3 linked regions of the Nothobranchius furzeri genome follow. The protein of the gene in region 3 purifies or fractionates together with the protein of the main gene of each other region. This does not show direct contact. Links are inferred from orthologs where the notes say so. Each region holds a gene or a part of one and is shown on either strand. Other genes may lie near its edges. The genes, in order: crkl, grb2b and map4k5.

Evidence for each region.
Region 1: the proteins of map4k5 (region 3) and crkl purify together in Homo sapiens (affinity purification with western blotting; 3 studies listed by BioGRID and IntAct, with this or other methods). This does not show direct contact. The link is inferred for Nothobranchius furzeri from reciprocal best matches to the Homo sapiens genes MAP4K5 and CRKL.
Region 2: the proteins of map4k5 (region 3) and grb2b purify together in Homo sapiens (affinity purification with mass spectrometry; 7 studies listed by BioGRID and IntAct, counting the BioPlex papers as one, with this or other methods). This does not show direct contact. The link is inferred for Nothobranchius furzeri from reciprocal best matches to the Homo sapiens genes MAP4K5 and GRB2.

What each region holds. Positions count from the first base shown.
Region 1 is NC_091746.1:46,875,034-46,878,772, forward strand, and holds the start of crkl (crk-like protein), read right to left. Parts: upstream 2,845-3,739; 5' UTR 1,895-2,844; coding exon 1,584-1,894; intron 1,157-1,583; coding exon 685-1,156; intron 1-684. UniProt on the Homo sapiens protein: May mediate the transduction of intracellular signals.
Region 2 is NC_091752.1:67,730,674-67,734,427, forward strand, and holds the start of grb2b (growth factor receptor-bound protein 2b), read right to left. Parts: upstream 2,257-3,754; 5' UTR 2,119-2,256; intron 1-2,118. UniProt on the Homo sapiens protein: Non-enzymatic adapter protein that plays a pivotal role in precisely regulated signaling cascades from cell surface receptors to cellular responses, including signaling transduction and gene expression.
Region 3 is NC_091758.1:19,751,783-19,755,536, forward strand, and holds the start of map4k5 (mitogen-activated protein kinase kinase kinase kinase 5), read right to left. Parts: upstream 2,829-3,754; 5' UTR 2,696-2,828; exon of another isoform or gene 2,494-2,695; intron 2,176-2,493; 5' UTR 2,055-2,175; coding exon 1,947-2,054; intron 1-1,946. UniProt on the Homo sapiens protein: May play a role in the response to environmental stress. Appears to act upstream of the JUN N-terminal pathway.

The sequences.
Region 1 (3,739 bases), on a different chromosome or scaffold from region 3:
TGGCGACATTGTAGCTCATCACCAACAGGGCGTGAATGTGTGTGTATGGATGAATGATTCACTATAGTGGAAAGCACTTTGGAGTCCACTGACTCAGAAAAGCGCTTTACAAGTGTGGATCATTTATCATAAAAGTAGTCAAAAACAGGTTAAAGCCACTCCTACTTGGAAAAGGTTAATATTTGCATAAAAGCACATTAAAATGTAAGCATAACGAACACCAAAGAACTGGAAGAGTGATTTGAGTTATTCTGGGACTGTTTCACACCCTGATGAAGCAGCCGTGTAGTTTCAGTACTGGTGTCCAACTCCGTTCTGTTTAAGGGAACTTTACTGGTGACTTTAACACATTCCATTTTGTACGTTATTGATTTTACAATTTTGTGCGTGTTGGTAAGCTGTCCAAGTAACTAAAACTGAATCATTTTTAGAAATTCTGCTCCGAGATGTTTCTAATACAATTTTAACACAGCTTATCTTGTATACATAGTAATATTTTGTTCTTCCATGTGCAAATTTTTATGGTAATTGTTCGTTAAATACATAATATATTAAAATGTCCACCAGAATAGAATTGGTAAAGGACTAAACTGAAAAGAGGAAAGGAAAAGCTGGTCCAACACATTTCACATCTGGTGCAAACTTTAACATTGACCGAATAAAAAAATAAAAGTTCTACAATACCTCTAGAGCAAGAGCTGTTTTGTCATAGGCACATGGCACTCGTTTCTGGATAGCCTTTGCCACAACAGGACCATTCGGCATGGAGGGAAGTGGATTGATGACTGCTCCGGGTGTGCCGGGAGGCAGCGGGGATGACGTCTGAGGTTGGGCGTAGGCGTTAACAAGGGTGTGAGAGGGCTCAGGTATCCCGTAACTGTTGGAGTTGCGAGATCCGTGTGTGGGCTGGCCAGGGTGGGGTGGTCGTACCAATTTCTCAACGTAGGGCACAGGGATCATACCGACACGTCCGTCTCTATTTTTGGCACTCCACCACTGTTCCTCAGGCTTCTCCAGGATGATGAGGAGCTCACCCTTTTTGAATGGAAGGTCCTCCGCGTCGCTCCCAGTGAAGTCGTATAGTGTCCGCACATACTCCAGGTTCTCCTCTAAGCCAATCATAGGCTGAATGGGACTGCTGATGGTACTTTGATACCTTGGGAAGAGAAACATCAATCACTTTACTGATGCAACTCTGTTGTCAAAGCAAAACTGAAACAAACAAAAAAACTAAATTATGGGCATTATGTACCCTTAAAACTTAGGAAATAAACCTAAAAACTAGTGTATAATTGTTTAACTGGGATCTATGTGTGCTTTCCACAGACGTGGTTTAATCACAATAGTTTAAAATACATGACAACTACAAAAAACAACAATTTAAAGGGGAAAATTAAGTAAAGGCATTAGTATACATCCAAATAAGCCAAACCCAGTATCCACATCTTGTTTATTAACCACGTCTCCACAGGCTTTAAATGTGTAAACCAGATGTGCAAAACTCGAACTGTGCAAACTATGCTACAACCGGTTATAATAAAATATCTAAGAGAGTAGTTCGTGGTCACAGGAGGGATTTTTACCTGGGAGCAGGTTCTATTAGCGTAGTCGTGTCCAGGTAGTGGATTTTGTAGAACTCCAGGAGAGCTGGGAGGTGTTCAAACTCTTGGTCGCCTATCTTAAACCTCTTGCTGGGCAAAGAATTGATTATATAGTGAGAAACCTTGGAGTTCTCCGACACTGACAGCACATAGTCGCCTGGGCAGGTGGAGGAATCTCGAACTAGAAACATGCCATGCCTCTGTCCCTGTAACCTGTTCTGTGCTTCCTGTCGTGACACGGGTCCAAAATACCAGGCCGAGCGGTCGGATGACTCAAACCGAGCAGTTGACATTTCTGTTCAAATATAAGTTAATAGAAATTTAAAAAAAAACACGTGAAAGTGGGAGTTCAAGCAATCGTACTCTCACAGCAAACCGTTGGTTTTGGAAGATGCAGGGCAGGGCATGCGCCACCCTGGAACGGTTTCCAGTAATTTCTGCACAAACGCTGCAGGCTCTGTCGACCTGAATAAATAAGAAAAATCAAAATAAATCTGAAGTTTTCAGGAATAGGGAGCGAGTGACTTGATCCAACTTTGGAGCATAATGCGCTTCCTCTGGCTCAGCAGTCCGAAGCTGAAGAATTGTTGAAGGAGCCAAAACGAAGAGAATGATTAACTGACAGAAAACAAACACCGTCGGAGACCCAAGCTGCAAACGATCAAAGAGGCTTCCTTCTTTTCGTTCCGCCTTCCGAGAAAACACCAAGCTTTTCTACAAATTGTGTATCTCTTTCAGACAGTGTCAGTTATGAGAACGGAAAAGGTGGCCTCAGTTTTTCATCCGATGAATCCCCATGTCAGCAAAAGGTTGACAGCAGCCGCTGGTAGGTAACAAGTAAATAACTCAAATCCCTTTCACGGCGAGGCACGCGTCAAATAAAGAGCTTTCCGAGTTCCTTCTCTGAGTCGAAGCAGAGTTTTGAGGCAACACAGCAAGAAAAATGGCGGCCCCGCAACACGTCTTCACCCGAGAAACAAATTCAATGCAGCGGTGTGTCTGCCGCGTGAGCATCCCAGGACTTGGACTCGCACTCCGGAGCTCCCGCGTGCATTCCTGACGGCTCACGAAGTATCCAGACTCGGACAGTCTACGTTTTGTACTTTCCTTTCTTTTCCCAAGCAAGTCCTCCTCTTTCTCAAGCCAACCAAAGTGCGAGCTTTAGACCCAAAAAAATGGCGACGGGAGGGCAGGTCCCGCTTTCTAGCTGCACGTCACCGACTACCAGAGAAGGGGAAGGGGCGGAGGAAGGGGGGGCTGGTGACGAACACACGAAGCGGTCCCCACCCCCACGTCAGGATCTCGCGGCCACTCAAAAAAACACTGAACACAGAATAAAAGATTGGTCTTAAAACTAAAACACGTGACTTTTCTGAAATTTACAATGTAAAAATCTGATTTTAAGAGATTTAACCCTTTATAGAGTCATCATTGAAATTTCAACCACTGTTCCAGTAAAAGAAATGCCCAAAAAAAAACAAGTAAGACAATGTGTAGTTTTTAATCATTAATCTCTGGAAATATCTATCAAAACATTTTTGAAAATGCATAAAATGATGCAGTCGTTGAAAAATATTGGTGGCTTCATAACATGTAACCATAAAAATGGCAGTGTTTCCCCTATTTTTCCAGCTGTGGCGGTGTGGCCGGTGTCGGTAAAAGATCTGCTCGGGTGCAAGATCGGCTCGGGGTCCGTCGACTGCCGATCACGTCAAAGTAGTTGATTGGCTGAACATGAACCTTACGGAATTATGTAATCACGTTACGTTATTGGTCCAGGCAAATCTTTCTGTTGGAAAGATGGACAACTTTTACAAAGAAATCCATCATTACCTCTTTGAAAATACACTTTTAGCATAGAGCTGCATGTATATTAGGGCTGAACAATTAACTGCATGCGCAATTAAATTGCGATGAGACAAAAGGAGATTTTCTAATCGCAGACTGCAATTTGGCAGCGAGTGGTTAGCGCAATGCTGATATACGTGGAAAAACCAATTGAAATGCTAATGCTAATATCACAATTACATTTTTACAAATTATGAATTAGAAACGTGTCAAATGATTACATTTGGAGTCTAATAGAAAGTAAAACTACCATCAATCAAATAAGTACAGACTGGTATTTCAGTAAAGCC
Region 2 (3,754 bases), on a different chromosome or scaffold from region 3:
AGCTCCCACCAGCTTAACCAGCTAATGTGCTCATCTAAAAATAGCCCCCTTTCACAACCAACTGACTGCGTACGGTTCCGCTTACGGCAACATCGTACACAAAAAATGCTGAACACTAACTAGAGATTCACGAAATTTTTATAGAAATAAAAGAATCTTGTTTATTGGGTCTTTGGTCATTTAAGACCTTTGGAAACTGGATTTAAGGATTATTTGTAATTTTTAAGGACTTTTAAGGCCTTAAATTAGGAAAAGCTAATTTAAGACTTTCTAAGACTTTTTAAGGACCCGCGGATACCCTGTACGTGTTTCCATGGTCACGTCTGGTTTTACAGTATTATAGTATCAAAGTGTTTTTCTATACAAAGTATTCCCAACGGAGCTGGGCTAGTGCCTCCTCCTACTTTGCGCGCTCCCGTGAATGGGGAAACAATTTTTGACGGGGGTAACTACTTTGGCGCAACACCGGCAGCAACTTCGGGGACAAATTTTCAAGTTTAAAAGTAAGTCAGCTAATTTAAAATGTTTTTTTTTTATATCCAAAGAAGTTATCTATGGTTGGTTAGTTGCTTAGTAGTTGCAGCTTCGGTGGCTAGCGGGTAGTAACTCACTTATATTTTTAATTTAATAAACATATACACAATTTAAAAAGTAAAAGACTCGTTAGATATTTATATTGAAACTAATACGTAGAAAATATAACGTTATCTCCCGTGTCATGTGATGCAAGTCTGTTCCATTTAACCGTTTTCTTTGACCAAGGAAGGACAGTGTCCTCGTAAGCAAGGCGCCTTGACACTGAGAACCACCCTGTATGTCTGCAAAGGGAAAAGGCGATGGCACACACATGTAATGGTTTCTGAGGCCAAAACAGAAATTATAATACAACTCTGGTTAAATGCAAAGCCCTCCGAAAAACAGAAATGAGGGGAAAAAAAAAACCCATCAGCACCACTAACCACTTCTACAGCAAGTTTTTCAAATATTTACATTCACAGGAAAATTGTTTATGATTTCTGCTTCATCAGACTGCGCTTTTAACACTTAGGGGGAACATCTATTCATAGCAGTTAGTTAATATTAATGGAGAACATATGGGTTTGGTCCAAGGGTCAGGCCACAATCTGATAATCCCAACAAACCTTTGAGAACAACAACCAGAGATAAGTGGGTTAACGCAGACAGCTCGAAACCTTTTGCTGCAGGGTTGAACTGATAGTCGCCTTATCCAATTAGCTCGTTTGCTAACAGGTGATGGGGACAGAACTGATGAGCTCACACCCACACAGCTCTACCAAATAAGGCCGTTAAACGTGGACAGCTAGCCAGATGCTGGCAGAGGACTAATAATAATAATCATAACAAACAAGCGTGTTGCAATTCTGCAAGACGCATAAAAATACAAGGCATAAGTTAGTGATGGTAGATAGTTTACTAGTTAGTAATAACGGCATTACGTGGGACACTAACGGTGTTATGAAGGAGGTTTTTTGTCACATAACGAGTTGTTGTATCTGAGGAAGTCGAGCCCTGACTGATAAAAGGCTGCTGAACACAAAGGATCACACAAGCACATTAGCGGTGTCATTAAACATCAGGTCATGAAAATGGATGATGAGACGGAGGTGCGACAGAAAAACAGCTGCCAGTTGCCCAAATGTCTCACCTTCGCGTCGTTTCCCAACTTTAAACACAAAACCCAAGCCCGCACGTCGCGTTAGTGGCGATGCCGCCACCAGAACCCGTCTAAAACCGCTTCCCGTGTAAAGGGATCGAATCGGTTCCAGAGAGTAGACTGCGCCCACTGTTCTAGAACGTTAGCACCCCGGCTAACGTTCGGTCAACAATAACTGCGATGCAGTGTGATGATCAAACTTATCGAACGGACTACATTAGATAGAACAGCAGAAGGCGACGTTTAGAGGGGGTTGTAAAAGATTAGTGATGATTAAAGCCCGATAGAAAGCCTCATGATGGGAAACGGGAAAAAGGAAGAAAACACCTTTTTTCTTAGCGCAAGCTGTTGTTGCTAGCTTACAGCTGCTATCGTGAACTTGACTCTGTGAGAAAACACTTTATTGTACACCACATTTATGCGAAACGGTAACGGCGTCTTACCGCTTGCGACGATCGGTTGGGAAGAATCCACCGTAGGGAACAAAACGTTACCGTGTTGTTTAGCTCTCCCTGCTCCCCATAAGAGACAACCAACAGTGTGTAGCGTCGCTCACAGCCCGTCCTAGGAGCCCGAAGCTAGCTGGTAGCAGAGCGTTTATTTCCGCTTCCTTCTGCCGAGCTGGTGCTCTTCAGACCCGAGCTCCTCCCAACAGTCCATGTCAACCCAGCCACCTCTGTTACCGTTTCATCCACAGCCAGGACACTTTTAAACAGACTGGAAAAACGTTGATATGTGATTATAGGGACTTTATCTGGTGACCCGAATCAGTTCAGACTGAAACTTATGGTGTTAAAAGTGAAATTTGTCCAAAACCTAAAAATAAAGTACCTCTCTGCCAGATTAAAAAAACTGCAGTAAGGGATTAGGCAAACAGACGATAATGTTTGATACGCCAGTCTACAACCAACTGAGTGGTTCACTATTTAGCACATCTGCTTTCAATTTTTGTTTTACGGGAGAGATCAAATGCTTTTAAAAGGCTGCCCCCTAGTGGGAAGATACCATCATGACAACAGCACTGGATTGAGCACAGCTGCCTGCTGTCTGTCGCTGGTGTAGCATCGGGCCGCCATATTGGATGGGTCTCCATTCGCCCCGCTACATTAATTTCTACTGAGGAAGATACTTACTCTCAACAAACAAACAAAAAAACCCCACATTTTATCAAGTTTTGTTTCCACAAAATCAGACATATGGTAAGGCATGACCATTAAAACATAAATATAATTAAACAAAAAAAATTACTATATAAAATACCATCAGGTAGGCTAGAAAAGTCAATAGTAACCACATGATCTGTTTACAATTGTCGCTGGTTGTTGCAAATGAAGGCCGCACAAAACCAGGCATAGTTGCCCACTCTGCATTGACTTCAGTTGGGTTTGGAGAGCGAGGAACCTTTCCAATATGGCAACAATGTTTTTACGCCCTCCAGCACCCAATGGGGCGTCTTTTTCAAACTTCTAGAATAAGGCTCTCACACTTTCATGTTTTTATGTTAGTTACAAACGTTAGTGTTTGTTATTATATTTCTGTGGTAAAAGATGATTCAACACGTTTAGATACTGATAGGACGTTTGCCCTGTTTGTTGTATAAAAAATGTGTTCAGTAAAAAAAACCAATGTGGCATCTACAGATTCATGTCTATGGGATTGAAGGTCTAGTGGAAGAGCAACCACCCATGTGGTAGGAAGTGTGAAATGAAAATTCATGTAAAATATTGGAACAAAACATTTAATTGCAATTTAAAGAGATGTTTCTGTCTTTATTAGTCCTCATTTTATTTTTTTTCATATTGTTTTTACGTTGTTCATTCATCATGTGTAGGGCGAAAACTGAGGCAGAGAAAACTGGATCAATGATGAGTAAATAAAATCACATGAGGGGGAAAATCTGATAGAGAAGAAAATAAATCTCCAAATTATAAAAATAGACAATGAACACATTTGTTTTAATTAAATCAAGATCACCATTTAAAACTACAGAAATATTTAAAAAATAAAGTGGGAGATAATAATGTAAGTATAAACATAAACAAACAAAAAAAGGATATACAACTGAAAATGAAAAATAAT
Region 3 (3,754 bases):
GTCGGTATGTTTTTATCTGTGTGTGAAGCACTTTGGTCGACAGTGTTGTGTATAAAGTGCTATAAAAAATAAACGTGGATTGAATTGAGAATTCTTTAGTGTGAAAACCTTTAACCACAACTGTTTCTAATTGATACAACAACTAAAACCCAGCTCCATGTACCCTTACTCCTCTTCTGTGCCTTCTGGAATAACTATGACAAGGAGACCATGTATTATAAACTACAAATGAAACTAAAACTAACTGTATTTTAATATTGTGGTGTTTCACAAACTTAAACCCACATCCATGTACTCCTATTCCTCCCTTTTCATCTCTGGACTAACTGTGGGTGGGTCCTGAAGCAAACGTCTTTGCTGTGAATTAAATTTACTGTGCATCATCATCCTTTCTGCCCTCGTTTGTCAAACTGTTGATTTTTCCTACTCGAAAGTCAGAATTTTAGATATCCGAGGAGGAAGCGAATGCATCATTAGCTAATAGCAATGGAAGTATCAAGCCAACATTATCTTAAACAGTTTATTTACCTGCTGGAGCAGATTAGGGTGATGATAACTCACTTTGAACGTTGCCAATGTTGTCATCATCCATCCCATTTAGTGAAGTGGACCCAAACTTTAGAGTGTGTTCTTTCTACCACTCTGCTTTCTCTATTTACAGCTGGCATGCAGCAATGGACAACATAATGCTCTTGCACGTGCGCTGCGATCTATCTTGGGAAACCAGGGACTGAACTCTATGGTACCAAAACAAGGCACCATCTCACTGTGGTCGGTACCACAGAATTCGGTCTGTGTCTTAAACAGTACCAAATACAATAACCATCCCTAGACACATTTCATGTTAAAAATGTATAACTTTGGTCAAAGAAATTAGAAAACAAATATATATTAACCATGCATTCCCAAGAGAAGTTATTGCCATTCTGACAGATTGAAATAATTCATCTGAGAGCTTCAAGTATAAAATGAAAATTACAATAAAAATATTCAGATGTAACGATTTGTAGGTTGTTACTTTAATTTTTTTTTAAAACACCTACAAATCGTTACACAGGTTACATGCCAGCTACATGATAGTCCCACATGTTAAATTAGGCTGTGAAAAAAATAGAAGAAACAAAAACATAAAGCATCTCAATAATAGAACACATCAAGTTTAGGCACGTTTGTGCTACTTTGAATAGGAGATATTTAAGAGAAACATCTTGCTTTGTTATGAAAAATTGTTCATCGTGCTTTTGTTTCCTTATGTTTGTATTTCTGCAACACTGCTGTGCAAAATGCTCCTGCCAGCTTCAAATCACCTAAATTTCCTCATGTCCTAATGCTCCTATTCCAAATCTACTGGCTCCCCATCTGCTCTATAGTACATTATGACGACATTACTTCTCACTTAAAGGGCACTGAATGGTAAAAATCTCAGAAATGTTGTGAATGTATTCCATATTTGGTTCTTTTTTAAAACACAGAAAAGGTTCTTTTACCTTGCTGACAGTTTCGTTTGCCGTCAGCAAGGTAAAAGAACCTTTTCTGTGTTTTAAAAAAGAACCAAAAATGGAATTAGAAACTAGACACAGCAAGAACATACCAAAGATGTTGTCTATGTATGTTCCTAACAGATTCTTGAGGTCATGTGACAAAGGCCAGCTGGTTGTGCCACATCCAAGGCAGAAAACTAAAAGGTTAAAGACTGGGGTGTAAGAAAATATCAAAATGTCAATATAGCATAATGTGCGTGTGTGTGTATATAAAGTTTTACTTACTCACTTAAAATATTTAAATATCTGAGTCCCGTTCCATCCAATTATATCATTTAAAAACATCTGCAGCTAAAGTGTTTGTGCTACTCATAAACCTGCAAAACAAACCGAGTTTATGAGCTGATTAGTCATCTTATCTCCAGCTTCTGTGGCAGACTCTGGGAACCAATGACTCCATCATACCTTGTAAACGTCTCCATAGGTCCCACTTCCCACCCTTTGAATGAGCTCAAAGTCATGCTGGGGGTTCTTCCTCTGAATTTCACCACTCGGTCGGGGAAAGATATCCATGACAGCTTGAATCAAATGGGTCCTTTACATTTAGTTGGCTTGACTCGTGGTTGCCGAAATACTGGTCTTCAATATGAGCCGATTAATACAACTCATAAAGTCTCTGTCGTTGCTCCATGTCCTGAGTCAGATTTTTGGAGAAAGCATAAAGAAAACATTTAAAATACTAGATTAATGGTTATCTTTAAAAGTAACAAACAAGAGTCCAGGTAAAAGCTTTTAAAGTGATATTTTTCACCAACTGTTTAATGTGTAACAATGTGAATTATAATGTTTAATCACAAAGTGTTTCCCTTATAGGCAGCAAATGCACCTTTATTTACAGAGGAGCACCGTGGCTATTCCAGCAAATAGCCAGAGCCAGTCGGAGGGTTAGTCGGCTAACATACTAGCTAACAATTTAGCTCCACGTTTGGTTCAAACTAAGAACTGTACTTACCGTTTAAAGCACAAAACCAGCAGGCACACAAACGCTGCATTTTTATCGTCTCGAAACCTTTAACTGTGCGATGGCGTCGAACAAAAGAACGAAACGGCCAGCAGTGCTCCTTTGTTATCGAGGAAACAGTAGTAAACTTCACTCCGCACCGACTACATAGTACACTTCAATCTCCGAAAATATCCTAACATTAAGTTTTCACCTTCTTATGTCATTAGCCTCTATTGGCAGTTTTAGAGAAGCGATAGGCTCAAACGTAGGATTTTAACGGAAAACTGTCTGTCTGAATAAGATATTTTAACGGAATAAATAAAAAAAAAGACTCCCGTGAAAGCAACAGTGTGCTGCTAATCTTTGTAGACCAGAGTTGCTGGATTCTAATATGCTGCATTCAGGGTACCTCGAAATATCTGCCAGCCCGTCTTTCACAACACGAAAACAAAACACACTGGCAAAAATAATCAAGTTTTCACTAGTTTGTCACTTGTTGCACATTGCAAAAACCATGCCAGTTATATTTTTTACATTAACATTCAAATTAAATCAACATAATGTTACAGTGTTTGAGACAAAAGTAAAGGTCAGCCTTTGCATATTTCCAAACAAATTCTTCAAAAAGTGCAAGATGTTTCCACGAGTGACACTAATAATAAAAGTTGATTGTGTCACTACATTTCAGTTCTAGAATTAGCTAAAATGTCTTCACAATAATTTATTTACTTTGTTTATGAAACGAGGTGGCTGGCATACAGAGTGATTTGGAATAGAATAGAATAGAATTTATTGATCCCACAGTGGAGAATTCACTCATTACTGCAGCACATACACTTAGAGAAAATGAAGAAAAAAATAAGATTAAAACTAAACACACAAAGACATGCTATTATTGCAACCTTCAACTTGCACAAAAAACAACAAATAAAAGGAAATTTGGGTTTCCAAGACTATGCAGGGACAGAGACATACTAATGTACATCCGGTATTGCACAAGTATTGAATACGTACTCAATTTTGCATTGCATTAATGTTATTGTGTACCAGGATAATACAGTTCAACTGTGGAGATATACACTATTACTGCAGTGGGAATGAATGACCTACAGTAGCGTTCTGTTTTACATCTTGGTCTCAATCTGCCACAAGACACTGAGCTGTCCATGGCCTCCACAGTGATATCAAGTTGACTCCAAATCCACCAGAAAACTACCATTTAACATATTTGAGCCAAATTAATTTGCATTTCTATCAGAATTTGTATCAG